4 linked regions of the Alligator mississippiensis genome follow. The protein of the gene in region 2 interacts with the protein of the main gene of each other region in a pairwise test. Links are inferred from orthologs where the notes say so. Each region holds a gene or a part of one and is shown on either strand. Other genes may lie near its edges. The genes, in order: C6H1orf216, CDR2, TBC1D22B and ENKD1.

Region 1 (7,390 bases), on a different chromosome or scaffold from region 2:
ATAAGGAGCAATGCTCGGTCTGGATTAACGGGCCTAAATAGACATCATCACACAGGATCTCTTCCCTGCACCAACCAAGCCAGGAGCATGAAGTCAGCCGTGCAAAACACTGTAGGCTGCAAGAAAAAAGCTGTGGGAAACAGTGGGAAACAGTTTAAACTTTGTCCCTGTTGGTGAGGCGTATGAAGGGAACCTGTGTAAATTTGAAACACTTTTGGTTACTTCTTTTAATGTCTGTTCACCTTCCCCAGTGGAAATCCTATTACATCCCATTGGATTATTTTAATAGATCTGTGCAGCTTTCCATTGGTCTCTGACTTTTCAAGGATGCCAATAGCACCAGTAGGCCTGCTCCTTCATTACAAACTGGAACCAGTGGAAAAAAAAATGTCAAACTAGAATTCCTACCAGGGTTATGAATAGAGATGGAGGAAAGCTTAGTGCTAGAAATCACATGCAGGAAAACCCAGGAGAACAAGATTCCCTCCCCAGGAGACCAGACTGCTTAGCTACCCCTTTTTTCCATGCAAAAGTTAGTGGTTGAGTGGGAATAATACCAGTGTTGATGGGGAGTGTTTACTGCATGGACTGTAACTTGGGGACGTTTCCCTGGCCAGCCCTGCCTAAGCAGGACTGCGATTTTTAGCAGGCTACCCAAAACCAGCATTAGTTGTTTTACCTTTGCCATTCCTCAGTGAGGTAATAACCAATATATCTTGGATGGCAACTCCCCTGACAGATCAGATGTAGAGGATTCACAAAAGCGGGTGTTTGCTAAAGCAATTGGGAGAGTTTTCTCTGCATCAGTCCATTGATTTAAGGCACTGAGCTGCAATTTGGGAGAAGTGGGGTCAACCACTTCCCTACCACAGACCTTGGGTGAGTCTTCTAGCCCCTGTGAGCCAGTGAAATGGGTAGGGGGGAATAGTACTACTGTGCTGCATAGGAGTGCTGTGAGGGGAAATGCACTAAAAGCTATTTAATCAGCAAGAAAAGTGCCACAGAGATGTCACTCCAGGCTCAAGCTGCAAATACCCAGAGTTTATAGGTGTTTGAAAGCCAGGATTTGGACTGGACGCAGGCAGGGGGTGAGTCTGGATCTAGGTCTGGATATCCCTAAATGTTGGAAGGAATGCCTACAGGGCAAGAGGTAAGGGTGCCTGAAACACAAGGCAAGATGAAGGGGCAAAGCTAGAAGGAAACAGAATCCAATCCTTGAAGCTGCTGGTGCAGGAGCAATCCCAGGAGGGAGAAAGAGGAGCAGAGAGTGGAGCTGGGGTGAAGCGTGGGGTGTCACGGGCTGGCTTCGTGGGCCTGTGTGAGTGACAGGCCTCTCTGGGACTGAGGACCAGCTGCAGCCAACTGCAAGTGCCCCCACTGGCCTCAGGGAAGAGAGGTCTGTGCCCTCAGAGGCAAAGCCCTAGCTCAGCTCCCCAGGTACCTGCTTTACAAGAGGGCTACAGCTCAGCTATGGCCTGCAGCTCAGCAGAAGCCACTGCAGCAGCAACAGGACCAAGTGTATGCCCCAGCCTCCTGCTACAGGGGATGGACCCTCATTGCAGGATGACTGCAGCATACGGACCATGATCCTGTTCCTCTTCCCCTCTCCCCCAGTGTAGACCAGGATTAGTTGCACTTAACAGAACGGAGCTACACTGGTGTAGGACTGGTCCCAGCGGGAAGAGGAGGCCCAGTGTTTTCAGGGCTACTTGAACGGGGTCACTTTCACCTGTGCTGCACCCCATGACCCTGTCCCTTTAAACCTGGATTCCAGTATGGTTGCTATGGTGAGGTTTCCATGGCAAGCAGAGATGTGTGTGTGTGTGTGTGTGTGTGTGTGTGTAGCAGCAGCAGACAGCATGATGTGCTGCAGCGTGGTGGTAGCATGTGATGGATGGTGCCCAGAGCCACAGGGGAGAGTTGTGCTGTCCCCGTACAAACATCACAAAGCTCTGCCTTGCAGCGTGCCGGCAGGGTGGACCTCCCCTTTCTCTCGCATGCCTAGAGTTTGGGGGGGAAAAACCACACAGCTCCCCAGACTTGTGAGCTCTGCAAATGGTTTAAGGAAAATGCAAGGGAAAGGCAACGCAGAGGCAAAGGGGTTCTAATGCTCACGGTAATCCCTGCCAGGAGACAGAGAAAACAGATGCGATCAGGATTATGAGATTGTTGGAATCACTGTCCCAGCACATCCTCATGTGGCCACTGAGCTAACCTTGATCCTCAGTTACGGCAGGGTCCCCTGTACCAGCTCATGTGGCTGTAGCAGGCTCAGCACCTGGGCATTCAAAGGGGAAGGGGCAGGAGGGTTTATCATGCCTACGTCCAAACTTTGTGTTTTGGGGCAGGGGCCAGGGGGTGGGAGGGGAAGGGCATGTGTGGTACAACAGTTACCAGCCACACATCCCTAAGATGGCACCGAGCAAAAGCCCTGTCCATGCTGTGGGACCCTACAAATAAATCAATGAACGCTTTGCAAATCAGAAACCCAACAAGCACATGCATATGTGCACACATGCACACATGCACATGTGCTCATGCACACTCTCTCTCACATACACACACACACACACACACACACACACACACACACCAGGCCAAGCACAGGTGGGGCTGGGGTCCTGGTACCATCTGTGTGAGCAGAACAGCAAAGTGCTGGAAAGTCAGTAGAAACCCCCACTCCCCCCACACACACCCTGTCAAAGGGGTCCAAATGTGACCATGGGGCTGTGCTCTTTGCCCTGTGCCTAGCACCGAGGTGGGGAAGTAGGTGACTTCAACCCCTGGCATCAGGTTATCTCCTGCCACATACCAAATACAAACAACCCCCCCGCGTAATGCACACACTTACCAAGGAGGTCTTGGGAAAGCAAAGGTGGATTTCTCAGGCGGCTGCTGCTGCTGTTGCTGCTGCTGAGCTGGAGAGAACGGAAATAGTCCTCACTCCAGCAGCAGGAAAGCGTCATGTACTGCATACTTCCTACAGCAACCGGCGCTGCTGGGAGTGCCCTGTCACAGGATGATCAGCAGGCAGCAAGAAATGCAAGGCAGCACCTACGGCCACCTTAGCACAAGCCTGGCACTGTTAAGTGAGTGTGTGTATGTGTGTGTGTGTGGGGGGGGGGGGTTAACAGAGCCTATAAAAGATGATCTGTCTCCCTAGCGATGGAATCAGCTTCCCTGGAAACAACACTCAGCCAGGAGATCAGCCCTCGGTAAGTAAAGAGATGCTCGTGCTGTGCAGAGGAACCTGCATTGAGCGTCCGGCACATCACCGACTCACACTTCAGCAGCAGCAACTTTGGAGGGCCTGCCTAGAGGCAGCTGTAAGGAACCTGATTTTCTGCGGGAGAGTGGCTTAGGATTTTCTGAAAATCAGGCTGCATTAGAGTCGCCCCGGGGAATCTGAGGCATCAGAAAGCCACCAAATCACTCTGGAAGATTTAGCTCTGATCAGGCTGGTTGGTAAGTGGACAGATTCCCAATACATTATGCCCTGGATTCCCCCTGGATTTGTACAGGGCTGCACATGATGAAGGCCTGGTCTGTGATAGCTGCTTCCCTGGCATTACCACAATACAAAGGAATGAATAAACAGACATATATTCCTGGCAGCAGTCTTGCTAGCATGTCAGTGGTATGTGACCCCCGCACCCCCAGGCATGTGCAAGGGGTCAGAGGAACAGTCGCAGTGCAATTGGGGGGGGGGGGTGTTCCATGTCTCCAATTGGTTTTTCACCAGACCAAAACTTGAGCCTGATCCATCCCCACAGCCTCACTCACTGCTCACCTGGTGTGCTTGTCATAACCCTGCCTCTGGTGTGAGACCCTGTCAGTCCCTCTGTCTTTCGTGGGGCCCAGGAATGGATGGGAGTGTGGAGCTAAGCAGTCGGAGGGGTGCAGGTAGAGAAAGGAAGCGAGGTGCTCTCACCTCCTAGCCTTGGTTGTACCAGTGCGCTCTGAGACACCCGTGCAGCCAAGCTCTGCTGCTGGGAACGCACACTTGATGGTAACTTCCAAGTACAAAGCACGTGGGGAGATTTTAGTGGAAACCAGGGCAGTTGCAAGACCTTTGTTTAGAAATTGCTATAGCTGGTGCTGGTCCAGCTGAACTAGAGCATCAGGCCTTCTCTCAAGTAGGACACCTGGCCCATCTGAAGCCCCTCTCCCTTCACCTCTACCATGGGTGTGATGGGTTGAGGCAATATTTCAAGATCAAGGATTTCCCTGCCCATGGCTTATCATGAAGCTCTGTGCAGAGAGCATCTGGTCAGTGAATGTCCTGGACTACAGCCATGTTTTCTTCCAGGGCCTGGGGCATAAGATCTTTTTAATAGAGAGCCCAGCAATGGGACTGGCTCTGATCCTCTTTATAACAGAAGTCTGTGGCTTCTCTGACCTGGATACATGAGGGCAGCAAGAGGATGTGAAGCTCCCCTGTCCCTTGGGCTGGTGCAGAATCTCTGAAGGTGCAGACAGAAGTGCCGCTTCCTGGTCTAACTCATGGTGCTTCACAGAAAGCGCCATGAGTTAGACCGACCCTCCTGACCCAAAAGAGGTTAGGTGTTGGGTCAGTGGGGAGGGGGGGTCAAGCTCCAATTTGGAGCTGATCCAGAGAGAAAAGCTGCAACTCTGCACCCTCTTCCCCTAGCCCCACTACCCCTCTCCTGGCCCCTGGTGCTGTCTCAGGCTGGGAGAGGGAGAAGGCAGGGGAAGGAGTTGCATTCTGGGGTTTCCTCAGACTGCACTGGAGTCAGAGGATGGATGAATTGGATCCCCCAACCTTGGGGGCATCCAAGCCACCTGCCTTACCCTCCAGCACTGACTAAGCAACAACCAAAATGAGCTCCCTACTCTCTCTTCCCCCTCCCCCATTCTGAAAGCACCCAGCATGCACAGACAGAAGTTAATGAAGGCACTCCTGTTTGGAGCACCTTCATCTGAACCCTCATGTAATGAGAGTTCAGATTGTTGCGGGATCAGGCCCTTTTAAAGTGTTCTGCAGCCATGCACTTGTGTTAGGACAGGGCTATAGAGTACTTTCAGGGGCCAGATGGGGCAAAAATTGTCATTGTCTGCACCCTGAGTCCCAGGGCAGCCTGTCCCATCTCCAGATTAAAGAGCCCTCCACAGAGCTACATCTGGATATGATGCTGATGCCCATTGGCTGTATGACTCCCATCATTAAATCTCCCTAGTGGTTAAGAGCTTTCTCAGCCTCCCTGGGCACTCCCTTGAAAACCCAACTATCTTTCTAGCTTAATTAAAGGTTTCAGAAGACTTCAAAGACAGAGAATTTGCCACCTAATAATGTAGTTTAATGGGATCTGCAAGCTACTCTTACCTACCACTTTTGCTGTAACATCAAGACCGGTGGTGTACTAGAATCACTCTTTTCTCTACAAATACCACAGTAAGGGGCTTGCGATGAACAGGCAGTGGCTGGGATTTTAATCATGCTGCTTAGCTGGCCACGCACTGGTGAGAGAAGCTTCCCAGAACCCTTTTGGGCAGGTGAAAGTCCTCAGGTTGATGAGGCCTCTCTGCTATATTCCAGATTTATTCGGAGTCCCAGAAAAACTCCAGTGGAGAAGCAATGAGGCAAAGCTACAAAATGTGTCCTGGCTTTTGGCACAACATGAGTCTATGGGGTACCTGCCTGGTGATTAAACCTGCTAAACCTGAAGGAAAAGAGGGACATGTCCCTGCACCACCACCTGCTACTGGGTAATGAGTGGACGGTATTGGCAAAACGTCTCTGGGGGTCTAACCCCAAACACAGCCTGTAGCCCAGCAGATACCCCCTGTGTGCATGTGTATGGGCATGTGTATGAGGATGCATCTCACCCAGCAACACATTGAAGACAATTTTTCATGAACAGAACAGCTCCTCCTTCTACCTCTTCCCAATCCCCCTGATCAGTCCTATGAGCTTTAGGCTACCCAGACTCCCCCGTGGTACCTACCTCACAGTCCATCAGCTCCTTGCAGAGCGCAGGGAGGGGGCTATGGATGCAGCTTTCTCAATAGACCTTTTATCCATCTGTGCTGGGACTTGGGGGTGTCTCCAAAGGTTAAAATAAAAAGCAGTAGCACATCAAACAAGCAGGGATGAATGCAAAGCCTGGAGCAAGAAGGTCACATGAAGCACCACAAACACTTTGGGCATAAAGGGGCATTGTCAGGCTTAATGCCAGGATGAAGGGAAAGAGCAAATGTAAGGGGTTCTGAATGGTTTGGATGAAGTCAGCATGTTAAGCAACATGAGTCTTGGGGGTTGGAGAGGTGACAGGGGGACAAAAATGTGCTTCACATGAACACAAGGAGGGTTTGTGTTCCTCCTTTCTATGTTTATCCCCCTTCAGCTCCGGCCCCAAGCAGTCAGCTGTAATATTGATTTATACTTCTACCTCTCTGGGGCAGGGGATGTGTCTTTGTTCTGTACAGCACCAAGCACCATGAGTGTCCCAGCCCTGGCTAATGTCCTCAATCCTACAGCAATACAACCCTATCACAGCAATACTGCTCGTTAGGGCTGGCCTTTTATTCTATTTCTAAGGTGCCCGGCACAACAAAGACTCCTTGAAGTGGGGTCCTTGGTGTTACGAACAGGCTACAAACAGATGTTGCATTTGTCCTGGGACAAGTTGTGCCTTTGGTTGTCCCAGAAAAGAAAAGTCACAGGACTGGCATGTATACACGTTGCCCCTCCAATCAGGGTTTAGTGAGTGGGTGAATGCACTGCTGCTTTTCTTTCATTGGTCCAGTGATGCAATCCCGGGACATCTGCCCTTAGGACAGAACAGTCCCATGCACCGGTACAGGTTGGACCGACTGGCTAAGCAGCAGCTTTGCAGAAAAGGACCTGGGGGTTACAGTGGACAAGACGCTGAATAGGAGCCAGCAGTGTGCCCTTGTTGTGAAGAAGGCTAACGGCATCCTGGGCTGCATTAGTCAGAGCACTGCCAACAGATAGAGGGAAGTGACTATTCCCTTCTATTCAGCACTGGGGAGGCCACATCTGGAGTACTGTGTCCAGTTTGCCCCCCCCGAAAGGATGTGGACAAATTGGAGAAAGTCCAGCAGAGGGCAACAAAAATGGGTAGGGGGCTGGGGCACATGACTCATGAGAAGAGGCTGAAGGAACTGGGTTTATTTCGTCAGGAAAAGAGAAAACGGAGAGGGGTTTAAATAGCAGCCTTCAGCTACCTGAAGGTGGTTCCCAAGAGGATGGAGCTGGGCTGCTCTCAGCGGTGGCAGATGACAGAACAAGGAGCAATGATCTCAAGGTGCAGCAAGGGAGTTTTAGGTTGGATATTAGGAAAAACTTTCTAACTAGGAGGGTGGTGAAGCACTGGAATAGGTTACCCAGAGAGGTGGTGGAGTCTCC
Region 2 (7,415 bases):
CCAAAGTGAACCTCCAGCCAAACTAACTACCCACCCCTGAGTTAGTGAAACTATTTCCCAGCTCTTCTAACAGAGGATGTTTTGATATATAAATACAGACGTTCAAAATATTGTGCTTAATTTTTCATTTTACTTGGGGGGGTGAACTAATGCTTGCCAGAAACCAATATTTATAGGTAGTTCACTGTCTAAAAATGTGGACAGGTGCCTAGTCAGATTTTCAAAAGCTTAGATGTCTACTCTCATTAAAATATAAGCATTCTGGCTGTAAGCCACAGACCAGCAAACACTTACATGCAAGTAACTCTGAGCACATAGGCAACCTTACTGAGCTCAACAAGACTCTTCAGGTAAATAAAAGTTATTCACATGAGGAAGGGTCTGAAGCATCACAATGATGATCGATTTTAAGTACATTAGTAATCCCATTTAGACTGAAAACATTATTTCAGTACCATAAAGGCTTTTTTTATTTTTTTTAAACTAAAAGCTATAAACAATGTACACTTAGTGCATCTTTAATTTATGATAAATCAAATATTTCAGTAGGGCAACAATAAATTCATAAACAAAGCAGAATTATTTCAGTGCCATATAAATGTTATACAACACTAATAAAATCAATGTTCCAACATACTGTACCTGAGCTTGATGAAAGGCAATTTCTGAAATCTTGTACTGGTTTAAGAAAAGCTTAACATAGTAGAAATTAAAGATACTATTCATCATTCCAGCACCTAATGTGGTCATGGAATATGCCAGTGCATTAGGATGAATTCCTAAAACAATCTTCATTTTCCAAATTGTGATAGTTTCTTCTTCTGCTTCTAATTTAAAAAAAAAAGTTAACAATTAGATAAGTACCATTACCTGATATTTATAAACTTGCTAACAACACAAGATGGCATATTGTAACATAGAACAACTCCATGTTGCTGGGGACAACCAAGAGAGATTTGCCCATGTCAGGGCTGCAGGCTGGGGTCCCACAAATCTGTATTCAAGGATTTCTTCATTCTCAGTCTCTTTTCTACTTCTAAATGTATTGCAAAACTTTTAAGATTATTGGACCATGAGCACAAACCTAAACAGCTACAGTAGTAATTTATCAATACCATTTCTTAATATATATGCAATGCTTAAATGCCAATAGAACATGTCTAACAAAAATAAAGGGAACTTTTATCATAAGTGGCATAACCCAGTCCTACATCTATGTTAGTGCAAATCCAGCTCCCCAAACCACAGATATTTTACAGATCACTCTTTCTTTCATTAGCTTAAAAACTGTTAAATGAAAAACAGACTAAATAAATTTAATTCATATTGATGGATTACCTTGAGGTATCAATATGTAATAAGCTGCAAATTTAGTTCAGTAATGTTTTTAAAACACATTCTTTTAAACCAATTCACGATGATCATTTTTAGTTTAACGTTAATAATAAAAAACAATGTGGAAGCAAACTTCCAGTTAACAAAATAATTAAAAGACAAAACAGAAACCATTACTTTTGACTAGGAATCTTCTTCATCTCTGTTTTCTCCCTTACTAGTCTTATATTACAAAACTAGAAATTTACATAAAGCATCCTGAAGCTAAACATTATGCTCTGTAGTCACACAGCATGTGAAACATCCCTATGGGGTTCAGCCAAGGACATGCAGAGTTCTTAGCTCAGCACTCTCTAACTTAAGCAGTGTATAGGTGGCCCCATCACACTGTGGGGGTGAGGTGGGAAGTTTCAGAAACTGGCCCCGTATGGATGCTCCGTGAAGTGCTAGTCCTGAAGCTGTGTGCTCTGTGTGTGGGTCCATTTGGCGTGTGCCACCCATTTGGGTGGGTGAATTCAAGACCCAGGGCCAGCAGCTAGATGATGGGGCTCCATGGGTCAGATCCAGCCTGCAGACCAGATTTTTGACATCCCTGATTTAGCATAACACTTAATTATTCTTTTCTAATTCAAGTTAGAAACAAAGGAACAGTTGGGATGAGGTGGAAAATGGAAAGAAGCAAGCCTCCATGGCCCTTTGAAGCTGCTTATATTATTAAATGAAAAGATGACTAAAGGTAGCAATAGTAAAAAGACACAACTTTAAATTTAAGCTTGTTACATGTTCCAAATAAATTCTGTATAATGGCTTTACATTGTTCACTGTATCTGACTTTTCACATACAAATGTGAACAGCTAGATTACTTTTCTCTTTTGAAAATCAATTGGTATTAATAGCTCATTCTAATCCACCTAACCATATGTATATCCTCATTAGCACAACTTCAGATTTCTTCCTAAGAAAGCTGTGCAATCCCTCAATATTTCATAGCACACCAATTCTCAAAAAATATATATTTTAAAGAATATTTGCTAATTTCTGATTTATCCCTTCAGTCACTAGAAATTCTGTCTGTAAATATTAATTTCCACTCACTCTTGGTAGACTAAAGCCACAGGCTGCCCTCAGCAAGATTTCCACATCCTTTTAAACTAAGGGAGGCTGCCATCAGCAAAAACTATCACTTCTCATTGTTCCCGGCATGGCTGAAGATAGGCATTTCTGGGGAAGATGATGACCTTTAGTTACCACACAAAGTCCAGGAAACCTGCATAGAGTATGAGTAGACAGCTGCCTAGCTTGTCTACAGATGGTACAGAGTAGCAGCTCTCCAGAAGCAGTAAGTTAAATGTTTCTAGCTGGACACAAAGTGGAGTGTAGCCACGTGGTATGTGGCGCTCCAGATACATCCATGGCACCACATACTATACATTCAATTGTTCTCCTCCCTGCAAGAGAGCAGCGTGGAGGTTTTTTTGGACCCCTGGATATGCACACACGGTGGCAATGGGAGCCACCTAAAGCTGGAGCTGTGCTCTGCTGCCAGCCAGGCTCTGCATGGCAGAAGTAACATGACTGCAGCCCCTGCAGGCCCCCAGTCTCCCCTACCCCGCCATGGGTAACTTGTGCCAGAGCACGCGTGACAGCTAGCAACCCCACACAGTATCCTGCTGCTAGTTGTCCCTGGGGAACCAAACATTCACACACATCTGGACATGGCCAAAATGTGTTAACGCGTCTTTATTTTATACTGGTTTTGTACAATGGTGTGAATTAGCCTGAAGTAGTTGCTGTTACAGCACCTAATCACTAGGTGGGAAGATGAGCACATCATAACCTGCGTGCATTGAGCAGTCTACCCTGGGATAATTGCAAACATACTTTACTTCCACCAGCCTGTTTTTATTCATTTTTTTTCCTGGGGTAGCTTTACACCATGTTCTAGTAAGCTGCACCGCTACAGGGGTTTCCAGTGTGCCTGCTTTTTTTTTTTTTTTTTTGCACCAGTAAGAGGCAATTTATACTTGTGCAATCATGTTGGGCATCCAAACCTTAGGGGCAGATGCTCCCCGCTCAAGGTGAAAAAAAAGTCAGCCAGGCACAAAGTTAACCTGAGCCAAAGAAATAAATACAAGCATTTGTGAGTCACTGCTGGTTTTTGTGCATACTTTTTTTTTTTTTTTTTAAAGAGCCTGGCTCATGATTTCCGGATGTTTGGATAGGCAACACTGCATGCTTTTTGCAGAGTCTTTAAAAAAAACCAACAACATACTAGGTTCTGCAATATTAGGTGGGCTGCAAACTGCATAGCAGCCTTTGCCTTCAGAAGTGAGCTCTAAAGAAGACTATCTACGGGAACCCTCTCACGTTACACTCGACTCTCATCACATCGGACCCACAGACTGCCCTGGATCCTCCTCCAGAACAGGAGAGCGACTGGGTTGCACGATCCCATCCCGGGAAATCTCCTTTGCTCCTGCACAAATCCTTCCTGCTTCCTGCAAGCGGGTGCTGCCGCCGCGCTGCCTCGCGAACAGGCCGGCAGCAGCGCGGGGTCCGCAAGAGCCGCTCGGGCCTCCTCTCAGGGACGGCCTCCCCTGGCCCCCGCACCCCAACGGGGCCAGCCCAGGCGGCTTCGCCTGGCCCTTCCGACGCCCCCTCTCCCAAAGCGGGAGGCGGCTGCGGGCCATGGGGGAGGCGAGGGGCACAGCGGGGCGGCCAGGGAAACAAAGCCCCGGGAGCTGCCTGTGTAGCGAGGGGCGTTGTCACCTCGCCTAGCCCCCGACACGCCGGAGCCCCGGACACCGCCCCGCCGCCATGGCAACCCCGCCTGCCCCCCGCCGCACTAACCGCGCGCCTCCTCCCTCAGCCTGGAGCCTGCGCAACAACCGCGGGGGCGGGGACGTCGTGCGCCCCACCCCGCAGCCTATTGGAGATGCGGAAGATCCCGGCGCGTGATTGGCCCGCGTTCCCGTCGGTCTGCGAGCCGCGGCGCACGATTGGCTGCGCGCCGCGAGGTGGGCGAGCCGGGTTTGAATTGCTCTCGGGAGGGAGGTCGGTTGCCGCTGCCACGTTGCCGCCGCTGGCGGCTCTGCCCTGCCGGCGCCGCGCTCGGCAGCGTCCGGAACCGCTCGGCAGCGTCCGGAGGCAGCTCTGAAGGGAGCGTCGGGGCCGGCGGGTCGGGGCGCGATGCTGGCCGACAGCTTGGTGGAGGAGTTCGAGCTCCGCGAGGATGAACCGTGGTACGACCAGCAGGACCTGCAGCAAGGTGAGGCCGCCCGCGCCGGCGGCACCCGCCGCTGCCCGCGCCCGAGCAGCTGCCGCCTCCCGCACCTGCGAGGGCCGCCGGGGCGGAGGAGGAGACCGGCTCTGCGCTCCCCTAGCCTGCTCGTGCCGCGCGGACCGTCCTGCCCCGCCCGCCCGCCGTCCTGGGCACGAGCACAGCACCTGCGCGCCGGGGCTTCCTTCAGAAACTTCCCTGCGGGGCATGAACTAGGATCCGCCCCGGAGAAACGCGGGGGAAAAACCACTAGAAGCTGATGCTGCGGGACCAGGGATGTGGTGTCGAGCCTTCCCTTGTCTCCAGTTCTCGGGGCGCTTGGAAGCATCCCCTCCTTACTTGGCGATTTGGCAGAATAACGTCTGTGTATTTAACAGAAGCGCGTTACTTAGTTTCTTTTCTAATATGCCATTAGGTGCCACACAGGCTGACCCACATCAACGCTGGGATGGGAGAGGTTCAACCAAGGGTTGCCAACTCTCGTGATTTTTGGCATTGCTCTTCAAGTCTATGTTCCGGGAACGTGAAAAACGTAGCTCTTTCTTTTATTCATATTTATCTGCCTATAAGAAGGAGCTGGGTTTTTTTGCATTCCCAAAGCGCAGACTTTAACAACAACGCCAACGCTCATGAGAGTAGCTTTTTAAAAGATTAATTCTTACAACTTGAAAACCCGCCCGAACCATCTAATTTCAGAGTCTACCATCTTTGACTCTTGTGCCCAAGAAGAAAACAAAGTTTTGGCTGGGGTGTTATGACCCCGCACTCGTTCCTGCCTGGGGCAGGGGTTCGGACCTGATGATCTGTTTAGGTCCCTTCCAACCCTAACAACAATGAAAATTTCACCTGGGGGGGAAATGGAGTTTAATATCTAGTCCCTTTTTATTAAGAAAAAAAGTATGGAAATGACTTTTCTGTTTGCTGGGAGATTCAAGAATGGTAAACAGCAACTTCCTACATCAGATATATGTTTTGGTGCCCTGCTGAAAAAAATTCATGCATGCTAGGAAAATGGCCACCAGCTTCAACAAAGTGTTGACTAGATCACAACCTAAAATGAAAAATAAATGCACAATTCAGAGACTCTTCTAAGACTTGTTTAGAAGTAAGGCTCGTGAACTAAATATTCACAAGGGCTAATCAGTGTATACCATATTGCTTAATAATCTCTTGTTGAAAGGAATGGGCACAACTTACTGCACAATTATCTTGGGTGGATTATTAAAACGTAGGAGCAGGACGCTGGCAACATTATCTTGATGTTTGGTTGCCCAGTTGTAATAACACCTTCAGCAAGGTTTGTACAAGTGTCATGAAGAGATGATTGCTTAGGGAGAACAGGACTTCCAAGTCTGCAGTTTCCAGACATAACAGTTAAACCTAACAAATCTAGACTGATCTGCCAAAATCTTGCTTGCATATTGTACTTTCAGGGACAAGGTGTAAAGTGACTAAACTTGTATTGGCCATTCACGACTGTTCAGGGACTATTCTCATGGTGAAAAGGGAACTTCTTAAATATCTGACCGAGATATTAACCAGCATATTGCCAAAATGTATTCAAGATCACAAAATAAAATGGAATGCAGAAAGATAAGCTTCTGTACTACACTGAAGTTTCAGATGGTCTTTCATTGTTTTTATCCTTATTCAGCTGGTTAGCTATATTCTGTTGTTTACTTGCACACTTGCTTTTATTGCACCTTGAACTCTGAAGGAACATATCAGGCTGCATAGTTTTGTCACCAGCCAAACTCTAAAACTCTGCAGGTGAGGTCAGGTTCATGAAAGCTCACACTGTTTTTCTGGTTTAGTTTGTCTATAGGGTGTAAATCTACCCTGCCTTCTGCTTGACTTCAGACTAACGTGGCAAACCTACCTCTCCAAATTCCCTTAGATGTTAACAAAAGCAGTGTCTGAATACGTCACATTAAATTAATTTAAAAAATGAACACCCTTTAATTCATGCACTAGTAGCCTAACCACCTTTGAAAGCATTGAACACTTTCAGCTCTTCTTGAAACCAAGACTTATCAGTGCCTTAATGTAATTAAAATCAGCACATTGGAAAGCAAATTCTTTCTGCAGTACTTAATGCTCTTAGTTTTAGATGAGACCAAAATTTTATTTTAAGACAAGGTTTACTTTCACATTTGAGTGATTCTGCCTATCATATAGAAACCAATTTCTTCTCTGTCAAGAATAGCAAATTTTTCACATAAGGAAAACATGAATGCTGCTTTGGAACTGCCAAAATAACAGACTACATTTAAGTCTGTAGCATGAGCATCTAAATAAAAGATGGAATCGTACTGTACTCCTTTTGTATTGCTTCATGCTCAGAGTGCTTTGTAAACACAAATATCACACTACCAATATTACACACTAACAGGAAATTACATGCACGGTTTCATTCCTTCCAGTTTTCTAAATACTTTCTTCTCAATTGGTTAGATCTCTTAAGCATATTTTAAATACTTGGTTTTGGCTCTTAAGTCATTTTACAAGTTATGTATGCAGTTGCGTGTCTTTAATAGAATCGTACTACTTGCCTGAAGCATTGAGTCTTAAGTATACCTTGGTATGCTTAGCAACATTTAAGGCAACAAAAATAGCATGAGTTATTGGACGGCTTTAATAAAGATGGCTGATGACCAGCTAAATTTAGTATGTTGTGTGGAATTAGAAAGTCTTAAGTAGGATTGTAATTTATGTAAAGGATTACAGAATCACTGAAGCTGTAGACAGCAATAGGTACTACAGAGCAAGATGTGGAAAAACATGGTTTGGTTTAGGACT
Region 3 (7,136 bases), on a different chromosome or scaffold from region 2:
TCTGGGAAGGTGTCTGCCCCTCTGGGAGCAAAGAGCCAGGCCAGCATCCATCTCACTGAGGCAGAGCCTCTAGCTTGCTCCTTTCCTCCTGGCCCCATATACCTCCCACTCTCAACTGTTCAGGGGGCCAGCTTCAAAGGGAGCACTGGAGAAAGACCTAGTTAATGCCTGATGTGCAGCATGGTGATTGGAGCCCTGTGCTAGAAACTGGAGAGAGGCAGCTCCAAGCCCCTCCTGAGTGAGGTGGGGTCTCTTACTTCCTGGGCAAGTGGCCTAACTACTTGTCTCCTGGGGCCCTCCTGCACCCACTAGTCATGGGCTTTTGCCAGGTAGAATGTCATGATTTCTGCTTACCCAGCATACACGTGTATGTACCGATCTAATTGCATCCCTGCCTAGACAATCAGTGTGTAGCCTACTGTGTATGGTCAGTAACATGTGTGTGTCCCCAGTGTATGAAAAGCAGGATCACAAAGTATGCATCAATGCCAAAAATGGCAGCTACATGGCTGGAAAACTGTAAGGTGAAACAGGATTCTGCCCTAAACCCACAGATTTTCAAATACAAGTGCTTCAGACCTGGAATCCAAACCCACCCTTAAGCCCTGATCTTTTACATTCTGCAAGAGGGTTCTGTGCGTGATTTCAGAAAAGCAGATTACTCACAGATCTCACCAGAACCATAGGAGCTGCGGCTTTCAGTGCCTCTCAGAAATCAGCTTGACCACTTAGGTGCCTACATACCATTTGGATGCTTAATGCTCAACACACCAGACTCCAGAAACATATGTGCTTAACTTTATGCACTGTAAATTGACTCTGCGACTTTGGTGGGAGCACTCAGACTGAATGGAGTCATTTTGTAAGGTAAGCACCTTAGTTTGAAAATGATAGCCCTGTTCACTACCAAATTTAATCAGGTTTAATATTAATATTAAATTAATAGCATCCCATTCTCTCAGTCATTATTAAGCTCTGATAGTCTTCTATTATTGTCATTATGGTAAGAGTCACCAGATGGCACTGTTATACACATAGTCTCATGTCATGAGTTCCTTTTACTGGTGTGTAAGCAGTGCAGTCTTGGGAAAAATGTTCTGTTGTTAGATTTGTAGTGATATTTCTTTTTGGTGGTGCTGTTGCTAACAGTAGTAGAATTTGCACTTACTCTTCCTAGAGTCGATGTTTATGCCAGCGTTGTCTTCAGGGAAGTGGGTTTTGATTTTCTTGTTCAGATTCCTGAAGCAGTGGATTAGCTTGCATGGCGTTTGGTCATCTTTGTACAGGGACAGTCATACATAGACACCTGTTGGAAAGTATTTGTTGAAAGAAACTTTAGTGGGACATTGCTCTTTTTCAAAAAGAAAAAAGGTAGAGATCTCCAAGTGTCAGACACATTTCATTGAAACCATTTTTTAAAATAAGTTTGCTTTTTCTTTTTTTCCACAAAAACCAAACTATTCAGAGGAAATTTCAGTGAGAAAGAAAAAAAACACAACATTTTTTAAAACATCTCCAAAAACTATTGATATATTAGACTAGCTCCAGTGCAGAGCGTAAACCAAAAAACATCCCTGAATCTGCATCACTGATTTCTTTTTCACAGTGAAACCAAACTGTAAGGCCCTGCTTTGTTACCATTTCACAGAGAGCCAATGCTATTCAGAAACATTTCTATTATGACTTAAAAGCCTCACCTGAGATCAGGACTTAGTGATGCCAGGGGCTGTACAAAGAGCAAGAAACACTCCCTACCGCAAAGAGTTTGTATTAAAACTAAATAAGACAAAAGGTTATAAAGAAAACCAAAGCAGAGATGGGTGAAGCAACGTTTTTTACCAGGGAAACTGGCAGAACCAGGAATATCACCCACATGGGTGGATCTAAAATTTTTAAAAGGGGAGTGCAGATGGTGCAGTGCATCATCACATCTAACCCAACAACATATTTTTTTCCAGTTAAAGAGAAACTAGAAGCTTTATTAATATGACAGGGGCTAACACTATATTATTTGGTTTAAGACCAAGCAAAAAACAAATACAGCTCTTGGAATGTGCATTAATTTGCTAGAGTATATATAAAGTTTAAAACTCCAAGGGCTATCAGATCCCAGTATAAAGATTCATGTCTATCCAGAATTGGAGGAAAAGTTCCCAGCAAAGCATCTTGATGCCCATGTTGCTGGGGTCATCTGACCCCAGTGGCTTTTCCTGCCCAAGTGCAGGGGGCTGGACCCGATGATCTGTAAGGTCCCTTCCAGCCCCTACCATCTATGACACTAGGCAAAAAAATAGTCACAGGATACTGTATTGTCAGTCCTGTAGTCATTACAGTTAAATGCGTGTCTTTTATTCAGATACATTACAAAAAATAAAAATCTAGCCTTCTTGAGCGCCTTGACAATGCCTCCAATACTTCACTGTCATTCGTTTTTCTACCTCCGTGTCCATATTACCTCACCTGAGTTCAGGTTTTTAGCTAGAGCTGAAAACAGGCTGCGGGGCTGTAAAATAGGAGAGACATTACCACAGATCCTGGTTTCCTCTGATTTAAGATAATCCCCAATTTTCAGTTAAAGAAAGTAACCCCACATGCCCATTTTTCCGTGAGTTTAACAAAACACCATCTATATAGAGATATAGATATATATAGAGAGAGAGAGAGGTGTGTGCACATATATATGTGTATATGTATATATATGTGTGTGTATATATATATAGATGTGTGTGCATGTATGTGTGTGTGTGTAATGGTGTTTTGTTTTAATCATAGAAAAATGTGGATTTGGGAGTTACTGTTTTTTAACCGAAAATTGGGGATTTTTTAACTCAGAGAAGCCCAGGGTCCCTGGACATTGCCAGGAAGTTAGGCAGCTCGCAAAGGGAAGACGTTCTTCCTCAGGTGTGAAGACCGGAAGCGGGGCGCAGCTGCCCAGCTTGCTGAGGAACCACGTCTGCCATTCGGACGCTCGTCCAGCTTTCTCCCAGCGACGTAGCTGGTGCAGTAACAGAGAAGGCCCTAAGAAATCCTTGCCCCCCGTGTCGTTTCGGGCCCACCAGGGCTACAACGTCTCTATTTCACTCCCATTACCCGGACGGGATAACAGACAGCAAAAGCGCAGAGGAACGGGTAGCTGTGTTGGTGGGACGTCAGGACCATTGAAAGGGACGGAGGTTGTTCACCCCGGCGGAGTGGAGAGATTAACAGGAACCGGGAGAGGACAGAGTCAAGGGGCTCTCTCAGCCCCTCTCAACAGAAACGCGGCGGTGGCTCCTGCCGGGCGCTTGGTTTTAAACATTTGGGTGGAGCAGAAATCAAAGGGGGGCCACGCAGCTCCCGATCACCCGCACAGGCTCCTGCGGCAGCTTCCCCGGCGGGCTGCGCAGGGCCCGGCTGCTCTGGGGGGGCCGTTAGAAAGCTTAGGACAAGGCCCCACGTGCAGCGAGGCTCACGTGGCGAGTTCACGGGCCAGCGCAGTGGACGTGCAGGGATCCGAGCGCCCCGCGGACCCACCCCACTGCGTCCGCCTGGGCCTCTGCCCCTCCAGGCTGGAGCTGAAGGGGTTAACTGCAGAGAGCCCCCTCTTACCCACCCAGAAATAACAGCCCCTTCCCCTCAGGGGAAATGGTTTAACCCACTCCATCTCAAACAGCATTCCACCCCTCTTCCTCGGGGCGAGTGGTTGGACCCATCCTGTCTCCCCCCCCCCCCCCCGGCAGGTTATTTAACCGCAGCTCATTCCTCTCCGGCGCAGGTGGTTTAATCCGCTTTCCCCCTGCACTTGGTTTAAACTGTGCCCGCCCCTTCTTCCCAGGACAGATGGTTTGCCCCTTTCCCAGCTTGGTTTAAACTCCTCCTCTAGCAAGTTGGTTCCTTCCAGACCACTTCAAGGATGGTTCGCCCCACACGCACCCCGCCCCGTCCTCCTCTGTGAGAATGGCTTCGTCCTTCCCTTCCCGCAGATGGTCTCTCCCGCCTGAAGCGAGAGGCTCCGCCCTTTCTCCCGTGCCCTCGCTTCACGTCCCCGCAGCATCACAGCTCCGCATTGGCTCGGCGGGAGGCGCCCGAGCCGCGCAGCCAATGGCCGCGCTCTGCCTTCCCGCACCCAAGATGGCGGCGCCGGGGTCGGGTCGCGGGGGCCCCGGAGGGAGGCGGTGAAGCGGCCTCGGCCCGCGGCTCCGGGACCCGCCGCCGCGCCGCTCCCGCCCGGGGCCCGGCCGCGCCATGGCCGCCGACAGCAGCAAGCAGTTCTGGAAGCGGAGCGCCAAGCTGCCGGGCAGGTGAGGCCTGAGTTGCCCCCGGGCCGGGCCGGGCTTCGAGGCCCCGAGGCGCTCCCTCCTCCCCGCCCGCGGCCTTCCCGGGCCCTCGTGTGGCCCTGTGTGCCTCCCCCGCAGCCTCCAGCACCGCAGGCCTGGGCGCTCCCAGTCAGGCCCGCAGCCCCTTGGCTCCAGCACCGGGCCCGGGCCGCGGTTTCCACGGGGGTGACAGAGAGCGGCCTCGCGCTCGTCGCTCCGTGCGCCCACGACGCTGCCCTGCCGAGCGCTTCTCCTCCCTTTCCGACTTGGTGTCGAGAGATCCGCCGGCCGGGGCCAGGCGAGCCCGAGCCCCGCGCTGCAACTTCCCGAGGGTGGAGGTTTGGGAGAAGTTGCTGGTGGCACACCGCCAGCCTGTCATGTCTGTTGCAGAAGATAGGGGTAGCTCTGTCTCTCGCGTCTTCTGTGCAGTGATCCTTTCCCGGCCCTGCAGCATGGTCCGGGCACGATCTCCAAAAAGGAGCTCGCGCAGAGAAAGGGAAGTTTCTTTTACAATCTGCTCGCTTTTGGGATCTTCCCTTGCGCGTTCACTACCTCCGCCTCCATCTTCCTGAGAGGGAAGAGACGAGCCTTGAAGCTTTCTGTAGGCGCCGGGTGCTCGTGGCGGGGTAGTTCGTCGGGACCGTACCCTTTCAGAGGCATCCTTATTCCCGTCTTAGACGCGCGGGAGGGGACAAAGGTGTGGAAGGGAAGCGAGTTGCCCGCTGTCACCTGCCCGATGCAGTCGAGCCACTCATTGCTTTTTCCTGTTACTAACAACACTTCCAGCTGGGGCTGTGGGGAGTCTGAGCCCGGCCATGTCTTGCTGAATAGGAGGAACCTGGTTAGTTTCCCTCGTGTCCTGCCCAGTGGTTTATCGAGTCCTGCTCTAGGGAGAGAGGCTCAGCAGGACACCACATTGCTTGCCCTCCATGCGTAGGGCCTTACTATTAATAATAAAAGTGGGTTATGCTGCTCTGTGGGAGTAGCAGCGGCTTGCTTTTTGAAATGTCGTTGGCAGGCTTCTAGGATTTACTTTCTGCTGCTGCATTGACACTAAACAATTCATCTCTTTATATGCAGTAGAGCGGATGGACCGCAGCAGAGAGCTGCTTTGTGTTGAATTGAAAGAGACCCTGCCTCAAAGAGTTTTTGTATCTAAATTTCAGTAGGTGAAGGTGGAAGGAGGGAAGAGACAGATGGACAGTGACTGCTCCAAGGTCACCCAATAGGTCATTGCCGGAGTTGGAGCAAAGCCTAGGTGTCTGCTTCTGGTCCAGTGCTCTCCTCACTGATCCAGTGTCGTCCGCCAGTGGAGGAGAACGACCAGGTGAAGCTGACTCAATCCAGAAAGAGGACTTGCGCAGACTAGTTTCACTAGCCAAACTGAGCTCCATTTAAGAAATCAATAGTGTCAGAGGTGCTGAGAGATCAAGATTAGTGTATTCTATAATAAATGTGGGGGATTTTTAATGATAGTCACCCCCAGAGCCACTTGTCCTCTTTCTGCCTTGGTTTGCCCACTTGCAGTAGTGAGGATGGGCTAGCCCAGGTTTGCATGCTGCTTTCGGATCCTCTGTTGAAAAACTTAATATCAGGCTTCTTCGCCTGATCAGGCAGTGGGGATGAAGTTTTACTCTCAGACCCTCCTGTGTAAGCTGCTCAGCTCTTTCACAGTCTTGTTCAAGCTTTTGCTCTTCATGGTTTCTGATGTCTAAGCCAGCCAGCAAGAGCTAAGTCAGCCACATAAATGACTCATAAAGCTGTTTTTTACAGTTTTTTCTAATCATATCCACCCCTGGTAGCTCTAACCACTACCAAGTAGGAAACAGTCACCTACACTTCCTTCAAAAAAAAAAAAAAAAAGTTTGCAGTAGGGCTGTAAGCAGTCAGGTTGTGTTGTTAGAAGCCTGCAGAGTTTTCAGCCACATCAACTTGTGCTTATCAGTATGTTCATGACTTCCTGGGTAGAGGAGAAGCACAAAGAAATGGAGCGTTTGCTGGCAAGTGGAAGCTTGTGCGATCTCCAATGTATCCTTAGAAGTTGCCCCACTGTAGTTTCCTCCCTGTGAGCATTGCTGGTTCTCTTTTGCTTTGTTCTGTCCTTCAGCCTGTCTTTAGAAGGACAGCCAGGGCAGGGGGTTATCCAGTGAAGTCAGTGGCAGAACATGCCTGCACGCACGAGTTGTATGGCACCCTCTGAAACTCACTGTTGCAAGGAGCCTGCATCCAGTTCAGGAGCTGCCTGTTCAGAGAGGCTAAGAAATAGCAGGCCAACACTAGAGGCTTTTTGAGTGGAGTAAGATGATATGGGCTATATTGCCAGAGGTGCCTTGGGTGGGGATGATGCTGCCATAGTAGAGCGCACAGCTTTGGGCTCTTTTAAAGGACAAACATTGGAAATCTGAGCCTTTTCCAATATCTTGTGTTAGGCCAGTCTGTTTTGGATGTTCAGGCCTGCCTTTCTGAGCATCTCTCACTGCCCAAGGGCACCAGAAAGGGGCTTCTTGCTCCAAGGTTTAATCTTAAGAGCACTGGGTACTTAACAGATCTAGAGGTAGGATGCCTGAGTTGGGGATTAATGGTCTGTTCCCCAAAGGACTCTAGCATTTATTCCATTCTAGCAGCCTCCCATTAGGAGCAGAGGAATCTTCCGTCCTGTGAATCCAATTGTTGTGTAGAGGAGCGGGCTTATAAGACCATACAAACCCCACTTGGGCTTTGAGAGCAGCTCAACTGCCTCCCCCAGGCAGCTCTAGCAAAAGCTGCCCTGGGCTGTTTGCAATCTGTAGCACTGATCTTGTTTTACTCTCGATAATCAACTTGTGATCAGTGCCCACATGG
Region 4 (7,631 bases), on a different chromosome or scaffold from region 2:
GGAACGCACCTTAATGTGTACATTCCCCTTGGCCCACACTGCAGATAGGAACAGGATAGACTGACACTCTCCATGGGTCCCAAAGCAAATGAGAAGCTCCTGGTAGCCACAGAGACTGCAAACCATATTCTGTTCCCAGAGGGTCTCCTCTGCCTTGCCCTCAAACATCAGCCTTCAAGGCCTGTTTACTCTCCTGCCTCTCTGCTGACAGAGGGGCCAATTAACACCAGTTATGCTGGTGACTTGTGTGTTCAGGTCTTTTCCCTATACACTGGGCTGGCCTTCACACACAAACTGTTAGGAGCAAAGGTAGCTCATATGCTCTTTCCAAGAGGCAGAATACCCTTCAGCAATAGCCCAGAACACAAGGCAAATGGGACTTTCATCTGGGATACCAGGCAGGGACCAAGACCGATACCTGTTTAAAGAGAGGGTGAGGATGTAGGTGTGACCTTCCTAACGCTCCAAGGACAAGGGAGTTGTGTTCCTGGGCCAGAACAGGCAGGACAGCACAGCACAGGCTTGGCCACAGCATAGCAAGCAGCCTCCCTCTGCTCTGCCCCAAGGATCCTTCCCATGCAGAGATTGTGGGACCCAGCATACAGCTCTCCACTAGATCAGATGCTACAGATTCCAACATATGCTTTGTCTTCATCTGTCCACTGGCCGCATCTCAAACAGAAATGAGGGGAGGGGTTGGCTTTTTGTGGGTTCCCATTGCAGCTCCCCACTGAGGACCAAAGATAGCATTTCTCAGGGCCCTTTTATCTCACAGACAAGGAAAGGAAGGAAGCAGCCAGAGGATTCAACCTCTGGAGCATCGTTCACAGCCTAAATGACTAGCACTTGTCCCATGCAGCTCAGACAAGCTGGACATTACACAGGTGTGATTATCTCCACTCCAGACATTCAGGGTGCAAGAAACGTACATCTACTGAAGTCCTGAAAGGCTAAAACCCTGCCACTGGAGAGATCAGCCAGATGCCCTACACCAGGGTCATCAAACACGGCCCATGGGCCGGATCTGGCCCATGGAGCCACAAAAGATTCAGCCTGCGAGTCTCCAATTAACCCTGCATGCAGCACATGGAGCCAGTCCAGTGTGAGGGGTAGATCCAACACTGCAGGCACTGTTTGCAGCACAGGGGGTCAGTTCAGGGCATGAGTTGTATAAGGTATCCTTGCTGGGCCAACCCTGTGCACTAGCTTTGGGACCAGTCTGGATCAGGTTGTGCTGGAGCCAGCAGGACAGGCTATTCAGCAGGGTACCACATGCAGCTCAAGCCCTGTGCTAGCCCCCAGTGCAAGAAGCAGCACCCATGGCACTGGGTCTAGCCCATACACCATATGCCAGCCCCACTCCAAAGACTGTGTTACCTCTGGTGAGCCAGATAGACAGCACCAGAGGTACTGCTTGCCACACAGAGCTGGTATGGGGCATGTACTGCACACAGCCCTGCACACAGATAGCCTGGAGCCCAATCCTGATTAGCCTCAGAGCCAGAGTTCAGGGCCAGTCCACTGGGATGCAGCTTTATACCGTGAGCCAGTCCCCAAGGCAACAGGCAGCACCCACAGTGCCTGATCCAGCCCATGTACAGCCTCCAGCAGCATAACCCCTGGAGCAAGACTAACTGACACTAACTACAATACAAGGGCTGCTCCAGCACAAGGAATGTGCTGCATGTGACACCCCACCAGACCAGTCCTGCCCACTGGCCCCATACTGCTAGATCTAGCACATAGACCAGCCCAGGCCCAACTGGGCAGGTTAAGTGTAATTAGGTTGCAATCTGTCCCTGAGACTGAACTCTTAGCCAAGTACCAGCACTGCCACAATGCCCCTGAGGTGTTCCAGCAAACTGCATTAGAAACATTTAGTTGCTTCAGCTAACCTCTGAGGCTTCCTCTACAAGGCTCAGAGTTCATGAACACCCCAACAGGCCCACAGCTGCACTGGCCAGCTAAAACCAGGAGGAACCAGCTATACATTTTCACGTGACCATTTGATGCAAGTGAAAACCGAGCAAACGTTCATACTTGCCCTCTCCCAGCACCGGGCGCTAATGGATTCCTAAGGTACAACTGCTCACTGGTACAGGATCTCTACCCACCAGTATCCACCACCTTTCCAAAACACCCAGAAGCTGGGGATCTAACCACTCCTGCCCATAAAGATCCTATTTCATCCTCTGAAGGTCAGATGCTAGCCCCAGCTCTAGTCACAGTCTCTGCTGTTCCAGGCTCTCTGCCGGGCTGTGCCCTGTGCAATTTCACTTCCTGCCCTCAACTGGTGCTGTCAAATAGCTGCCCTAAACTGCCCCATTTCAGCATTATACTCCCTGCTGCTGTCTGTGCAGTGCTTTGAGGTGCTGGCAGAGGACAGATGCTGTAAAAACCGAAGCTGTCTCCACTCTGTTGTGCTGCTCCCCTGGCTGCAGCACCTACAGGAGTCACGGCACGCTTCTGAATGCCAGGAGGGAGCCAGGGAGAGGCAGCCGCAAGCGCAGCCAGGGCGGCTCCCCCGGCCTTTCTCCTTTAATTACTGTATAACACGCTGCTCAACTCAGCCTCCGCTCCCGCCGCCTTTGCCGCCGCCCGCCCCGCCCCGCCCCGCCCCACCGGGGAGGCCGCTGAAGCCGGCTGGTTCCGCCCACCCCGTCCCGCTGCCCCAAAGCAGTCGGTGCTCAGCGCCCCCGACCCCCGCCCCTGGGCCCCGCCGGCGGAGCCGAGGGGCGCGGGGAGCACGGCCCGGCCCGGCCCGGCCCACCGAGGACGGGGCCTGACGCAACCCCAACAGGCGGGCGGGCCTGGCCTGGCCTGGCCTAGCCTGACGCGACCCCCCGGCTCGCCGCCGCCGCCGCCACCCCCACAGCAGGACGCGCCCGGGGCCGGGAGAGCCGCGCACGCACCTGCCGAGAGCGGGCGGACAAGGCGGAGCAGCCCCACGCAGCCCTCACCAGGCAACCGGCCCTTCCGGCGCCGCGGGGGCTGCTGGGAGATGGAGTCCGGCCGGGCTCCACCGCCGCGCATGCGCAGCTAGGCCCGTGGGGGGCTCGACCCCAGCTCGCGGCCCCTACAGTTCCCCCCGCCCCGCCCGGGGGCCTGGCGGCGCGGCGCGGTGCGGCGCGGCTCTGTTCAGGCAGCGCCGAGGGGTCGAGCGGCCTCAGGGCCTTTATCAGCTCCTCGGGTCCTGCTGATATCTCCCTTCCGCACGTGTTAGTTAGTGCCCCCCTCTCTCCTCTTCAAAGGTCTCGAGGTTCTTCTGTTGAAATGCTTCTTTCTCCTGTGCCGCGATGGCAGCCCGTCCCACCTGTCCCAGCTTTGCAGCCTCTGCTTGGGCTTTAGCTCTGGCCACAAAGCAGAAGTGGGGCATAGACACGACTGCCCCGACCTACCGAGACACTGTTGTCGAGAGGCCCAAGGTGCTAGCTTTTAACAACTCTTGAGTAAATGAGACGTACAGTCAGTGTGACAACAACCAAACTAACAGCGCAGCATCTTTGCCCTCATGTCTAGTTTGTTGTCTTTTTATTAACATAATACATAACCGAGCAAACTAATGGACATTCCAATAGTGATATTTGTTCTTGCTTCCGTTTTAAACTGAATACTACAGTGCCAACCCACGGCACTAGCTTCTTGTTAACCAGAGAAAAATGTGTGCTGTATTGCACATGACAATGAGCCATGCCACCTTTTCAAAATCCCAGATCCATCTGTGGCCACCTGCACCGTGGCAGCTGGCACTGCCAGCCTGCTACACAGCTGCTTACTGAGACCCCTTCTGAACCCATAAAGGAAGCAAGGTGCCAGGGTGATCAAAGGGATGTGTATGTGTAGCCTACTTTTCCTTGCTTTACACCAGAAAGGAGTGACCTGGTTGAGGATATGTGGCATTGCAGCAGGGGAGGGAAGGCACCTGCTCCTTGAACATGGTATTGTCCTTAGGGTGGAAAGGAACCAAATCAGGACAAAAGTCTTATTTCAGGGAAAGTAAAAACTGCTACCATAACATACAGTAGCCAGAACTACCTGCGACTGTTAACACTGAGTGCTGGGCAGCAGATAAACAACCTAACAATCTTTAGGGTGCCAATGACTTTGTGCATAAGAGTACTTTAGAGGGGGGTACTAGTCTTACCCTCCGTGGAGGAAATGCCACCTAAAAGTTGTGGAACTGAAGTCCAATCCATTATAGGGTAGACTGGGCTCTTTAATTCTGATCAGCAGCCAGTCTAGGAGTGAAGCCCCAATAGATGGACAAAATGAGTAGCTATGATGCGGATTTTTTCACAGTAAGGTGGGTGAAAAACTGGCTTATGGGACGCACCCAGAGAGTGGTGGTGGATAAGGCGGTTTCTCTCTGGAGAGATGTGAGCAGTGGTGTTCCCCAAGGCTCTGTCCTTGGACCAGTGCTGTTCAATATCTTCATCAGTGATTCGGATGAGGAGATTGAAAGCATTCTGTCCAAATTTGCAGACAACACCAAACTACGGGGCTTAGTAAATACACTGGAGGGCAGGGAGCGAATCCAGGCAGATTTGGATAGACTGGGGAAGTGGGCACATCAGAATAGGATGCAGTTTAACAAGGATAAGTGCAAGGTGCTACATCTGGGGAGCGAGAATCTCCAATACACCTATAGACTGGGGGATACCATTCTGAGTACCACGACAGTGGAAAGGGATCTTGGAGTCTTGGTTGATGCAAAAATGAACATGAGTTGCCAGTGTGATGAGGTAATAAGTAAGGCTAACCACACTCTTGCATTATCAGGTGCATCACGAGCAGGTCTAGGGAGGTGATGCTTCCTCTCCATGCGGCATTGGTCAGGCCACAGCTGGAGTACTGCATCCAGTTTCGGGTGCCGCACTTCAGGAAGGATGTGGATAACTTTGAGAGGATTCAGAGAAGGGCAGCTCGCATGGTTGAGGGCCTGTGTGTAAGATCCTATGAAGACAGACTGAGGGACCTGAACCTCTTCAGCCTCCGAAAGAGAAGGCTGAGAGGTGATCTCGTGGCTGTCTACAAACTCATCATGGCGGGTCAGCAGGGAATAGGGGATACTTTGTTTACCAGGGTACCCCTCGGGGTTACTAGAAATAATGGCCACAAACTAAAGGAGAGTAGATTTGGATTGGATATCAGGAAGAAATTATTTACGGTGAGGGTTACCAAAATACGGAATGGGCTTCCAAGGGAGGTGGTGCTGTCCCCTACCTTGGAGGTGTCCAAGAAAAGACTGGACAAGCACCTAGCTGGGGTTCTTTGACCCCAGCGCTCTTTCCTGCCTAAAGCAGGGGGTTGGACTCGACGATCTACAAGGTCCCTTCCAACCCTAGAAATCTATGAAAACCCACTCTCTGGATGTTCTCCTTTGCTCCTTTGGATTAAACCAGCAAGGCTGAGAGGGGGACACTGGTGTGCAGACAGCTCAGTGTCTCCATAATCACTGCCCAAGCTTTTGCACCCTGGAGGGGTCACTCCAGTTTTACTTTATTTTCAAGTGAGGATTACCTTCAGCAAGCTGATGTTCCACTCGGCATAATTCTATTGCTTTGCAAGATAGATGCCTACTAAAAACAGACACTGCATTTGAGTTGCATTCTGATTGACCAGTGTCAAAAACTGGGAGTGGTATAGCCCTTTACACTTGCAGTCTGGTAACTAAAATTCACTAAATCATGCTGGGGAAAAATATTCTCAGGCTTGTCCCTTGGATGAGCCAGGATTGTTCTGGGGAAAAGTTATCTCAGATACTTCACAGTTACTTAAAGTTGAATAATGGGCTTGTAATTCTGTAGGATCTGAGGATCTCAAAAAGGCTTTGTCCTTGAAGAAATCTGATTTCTGTGGGGAAAAACAGGTGTCATGTTTATCCCAGGAGAAATCTTTTTATTCTACAGGTGTACAAGCCCATGGTCCCACTTCTAAGTACCTGCAGTGTATCTGAAATAACATTTTTTTGCCTGAGCAGTCATGGCTAATTCAAGTTAATTGTCATCAGCTGCAAGCCTGGGATAATCAGAAACAGGATAAATCAGTTTTTACCTGAAGTCATCAGGGATGCTAAGGCACAGCCCCAAAATTTGGAAGTCTTCTGCCACATTCAGGATGGTTGGTTGCATTGAGACTGTCAAAAACATTGTAACAGGAGAAATATCCCCCCTCCTCCAGCCTCCTGTTCCTCTGGTCTTTGCAGGGTCTTTTGTTTATGAGTAAGTCCTGCCGACACATTTTAAGGCCTCTGTCACATATTTATGGCTTGATAGCTCTGAGGCTAACTATATGCTCAGGATACAACCACAGGAGAAAAACTGCAACCTTTACTGAAGAACATTTAAATGGATACAGAGGATGAACAGATTTTGATTTTTGCCTGCAAGGGGACTCCAATCAGGCAGGGTTAGAGGCCCTGAAATCCCATTCCCAGTTAAACTGCAGTAGCTCAGGAGGTATCAGCTCTCCAGCCACAGCAAATTATAGCAGGAAACAAAAGGCAAGAGGCTCATTTGCAGCAAGTCCAGATTGTGTGACTGGAACTTGAGTGATTCTTGATGTTCACAACAGGCTGTGACTGTTCTGCAACCAGCTTCCTATGAGATCCCATGTGATTAACTCACAGCACGTGCCAATATCTCTGGCTTTTCAGGATCAAATGCTCTGATACTAGCTTCTATTTTCCCCTGGGAGGTTATTTGCAGAGGAATTAATGACACTTGGGCCCACAAATCAGGCCTTAATTGTTGATGCAGTCTTAGCTGCCCTGCAATTCTGGTGGCATTTTTGTGCTTAAGATCATTTGTACACACACAACTACAGGTGTAAAAACTGAGACAGCACAGCAACAACAACACCGATACCAGATGGAAAATGCCATCCCCCTAAAATGTTTTAATTGGTTTGTGACAGCAGAAAGCATCTCCCAGGAATGCTTCATTAATGGCCCCTGCATGGGAGAGAGCCTCTTGCCATCCCTGGAGGCTCAGCGATAGCTCCTTCATAGCTTGTGGACCCTTCCTATTCACTCACCCCTCACTGGTATCTGAGGACCTTTGCTACCTTCAAAGAGCTACAGTTACCCACATGCCCTAGCTGGGACTTCTGACTGGCTGAGCGGCCTTGGGAAACACCTTGCTGGGGCATACAAGATTGTAACTAGCCAGTGGGGGGGGTCAATGCCGATGAGAAGGGCTGGGGGGAGGGGGTCACTGGTGGTATGAGGAGTCCAATGTTATCTAATAAAATGGAAAAAAATATGTAACTACCTGGTGACCCCTGCAATAATAATAATCAACCTAGCAGCTCTATCCTCCACTTGTGCTGATCCATCATGGGCTTGTACCACCCATTTGAGCTGGGCAAGGGCTGAGAGAAAAACCACAATACAAAGAGAGAGGCTATTGTGGCAGCATGGGGCTCTGTCCAGTTCTGTTGGCAATGGCGAGGGAGGGGCGGGCGCGGGGGTTAGGAACCGCCTTGCTTCATAAGCTCCTGAGCCTTAACCCTTGAATGCCAGATGCTGCAATAGATGAGGGCAAATCTCTGAGGGCAACTTGTAAACAGCACCTGCTGCTGTTCCTGCTGCTACTTTAAATCTGTCATCAGATGCCATCAGGAAATCCTGG

The links.
Region 1: the proteins of CDR2 (region 2) and C6H1orf216 interact in binary tests that used the Homo sapiens proteins (3 or more experiments, as listed by UniProt). The two-hybrid records come from large-scale screens. The link is inferred for Alligator mississippiensis from reciprocal best matches to the Homo sapiens genes CDR2 and C1orf216.
Region 3: the proteins of CDR2 (region 2) and TBC1D22B interact in binary tests that used the Homo sapiens proteins (3 or more experiments, as listed by UniProt). The link is inferred for Alligator mississippiensis from reciprocal best matches to the Homo sapiens genes CDR2 and TBC1D22B.
Region 4: the proteins of CDR2 (region 2) and ENKD1 interact in binary tests that used the Homo sapiens proteins (3 or more experiments, as listed by UniProt). The two-hybrid records come from large-scale screens. The link is inferred for Alligator mississippiensis from reciprocal best matches to the Homo sapiens genes CDR2 and ENKD1.

The regions. Positions count from the first base shown.
Region 1 is NC_081829.1:8,811,359-8,818,748, forward strand, and holds the start of C6H1orf216 (UPF0500 protein C1orf216 homolog), read right to left. Parts: upstream 3,021-7,390; 5' UTR 2,852-3,020; intron 1-2,851.
Region 2 is NC_081836.1:46,674,267-46,681,681, reverse strand, and holds the start of CDR2 (cerebellar degeneration-related protein 2), read left to right. Parts: upstream 1-4,409; 5' UTR 4,410-4,525; coding exon 4,526-4,604; intron 4,605-7,415. Other genes in the region: transmembrane protein 180, read right to left, coding at 643-795.
Region 3 is NC_081837.1:35,933,304-35,940,439, forward strand, and holds the start of TBC1D22B (TBC1 domain family member 22B), read left to right. Parts: upstream 1-4,127; 5' UTR 4,128-4,224; coding exon 4,225-4,280; intron 4,281-7,136. UniProt on the Homo sapiens protein: May act as a GTPase-activating protein for Rab family protein(s).
Region 4 is NC_081833.1:34,730,121-34,737,751, reverse strand, and holds the start of ENKD1 (enkurin domain-containing protein 1), read right to left. Parts: upstream 3,018-7,631; 5' UTR 2,913-3,017; intron 2,529-2,912; exon of another isoform or gene 419-2,528; intron 374-418; exon of another isoform or gene 1-373. UniProt on the Homo sapiens protein: Microtubule-binding protein which regulates microtubule organization and stability. Promotes the stability of astral microtubules and facilitates the proper orientation of the mitotic spindle.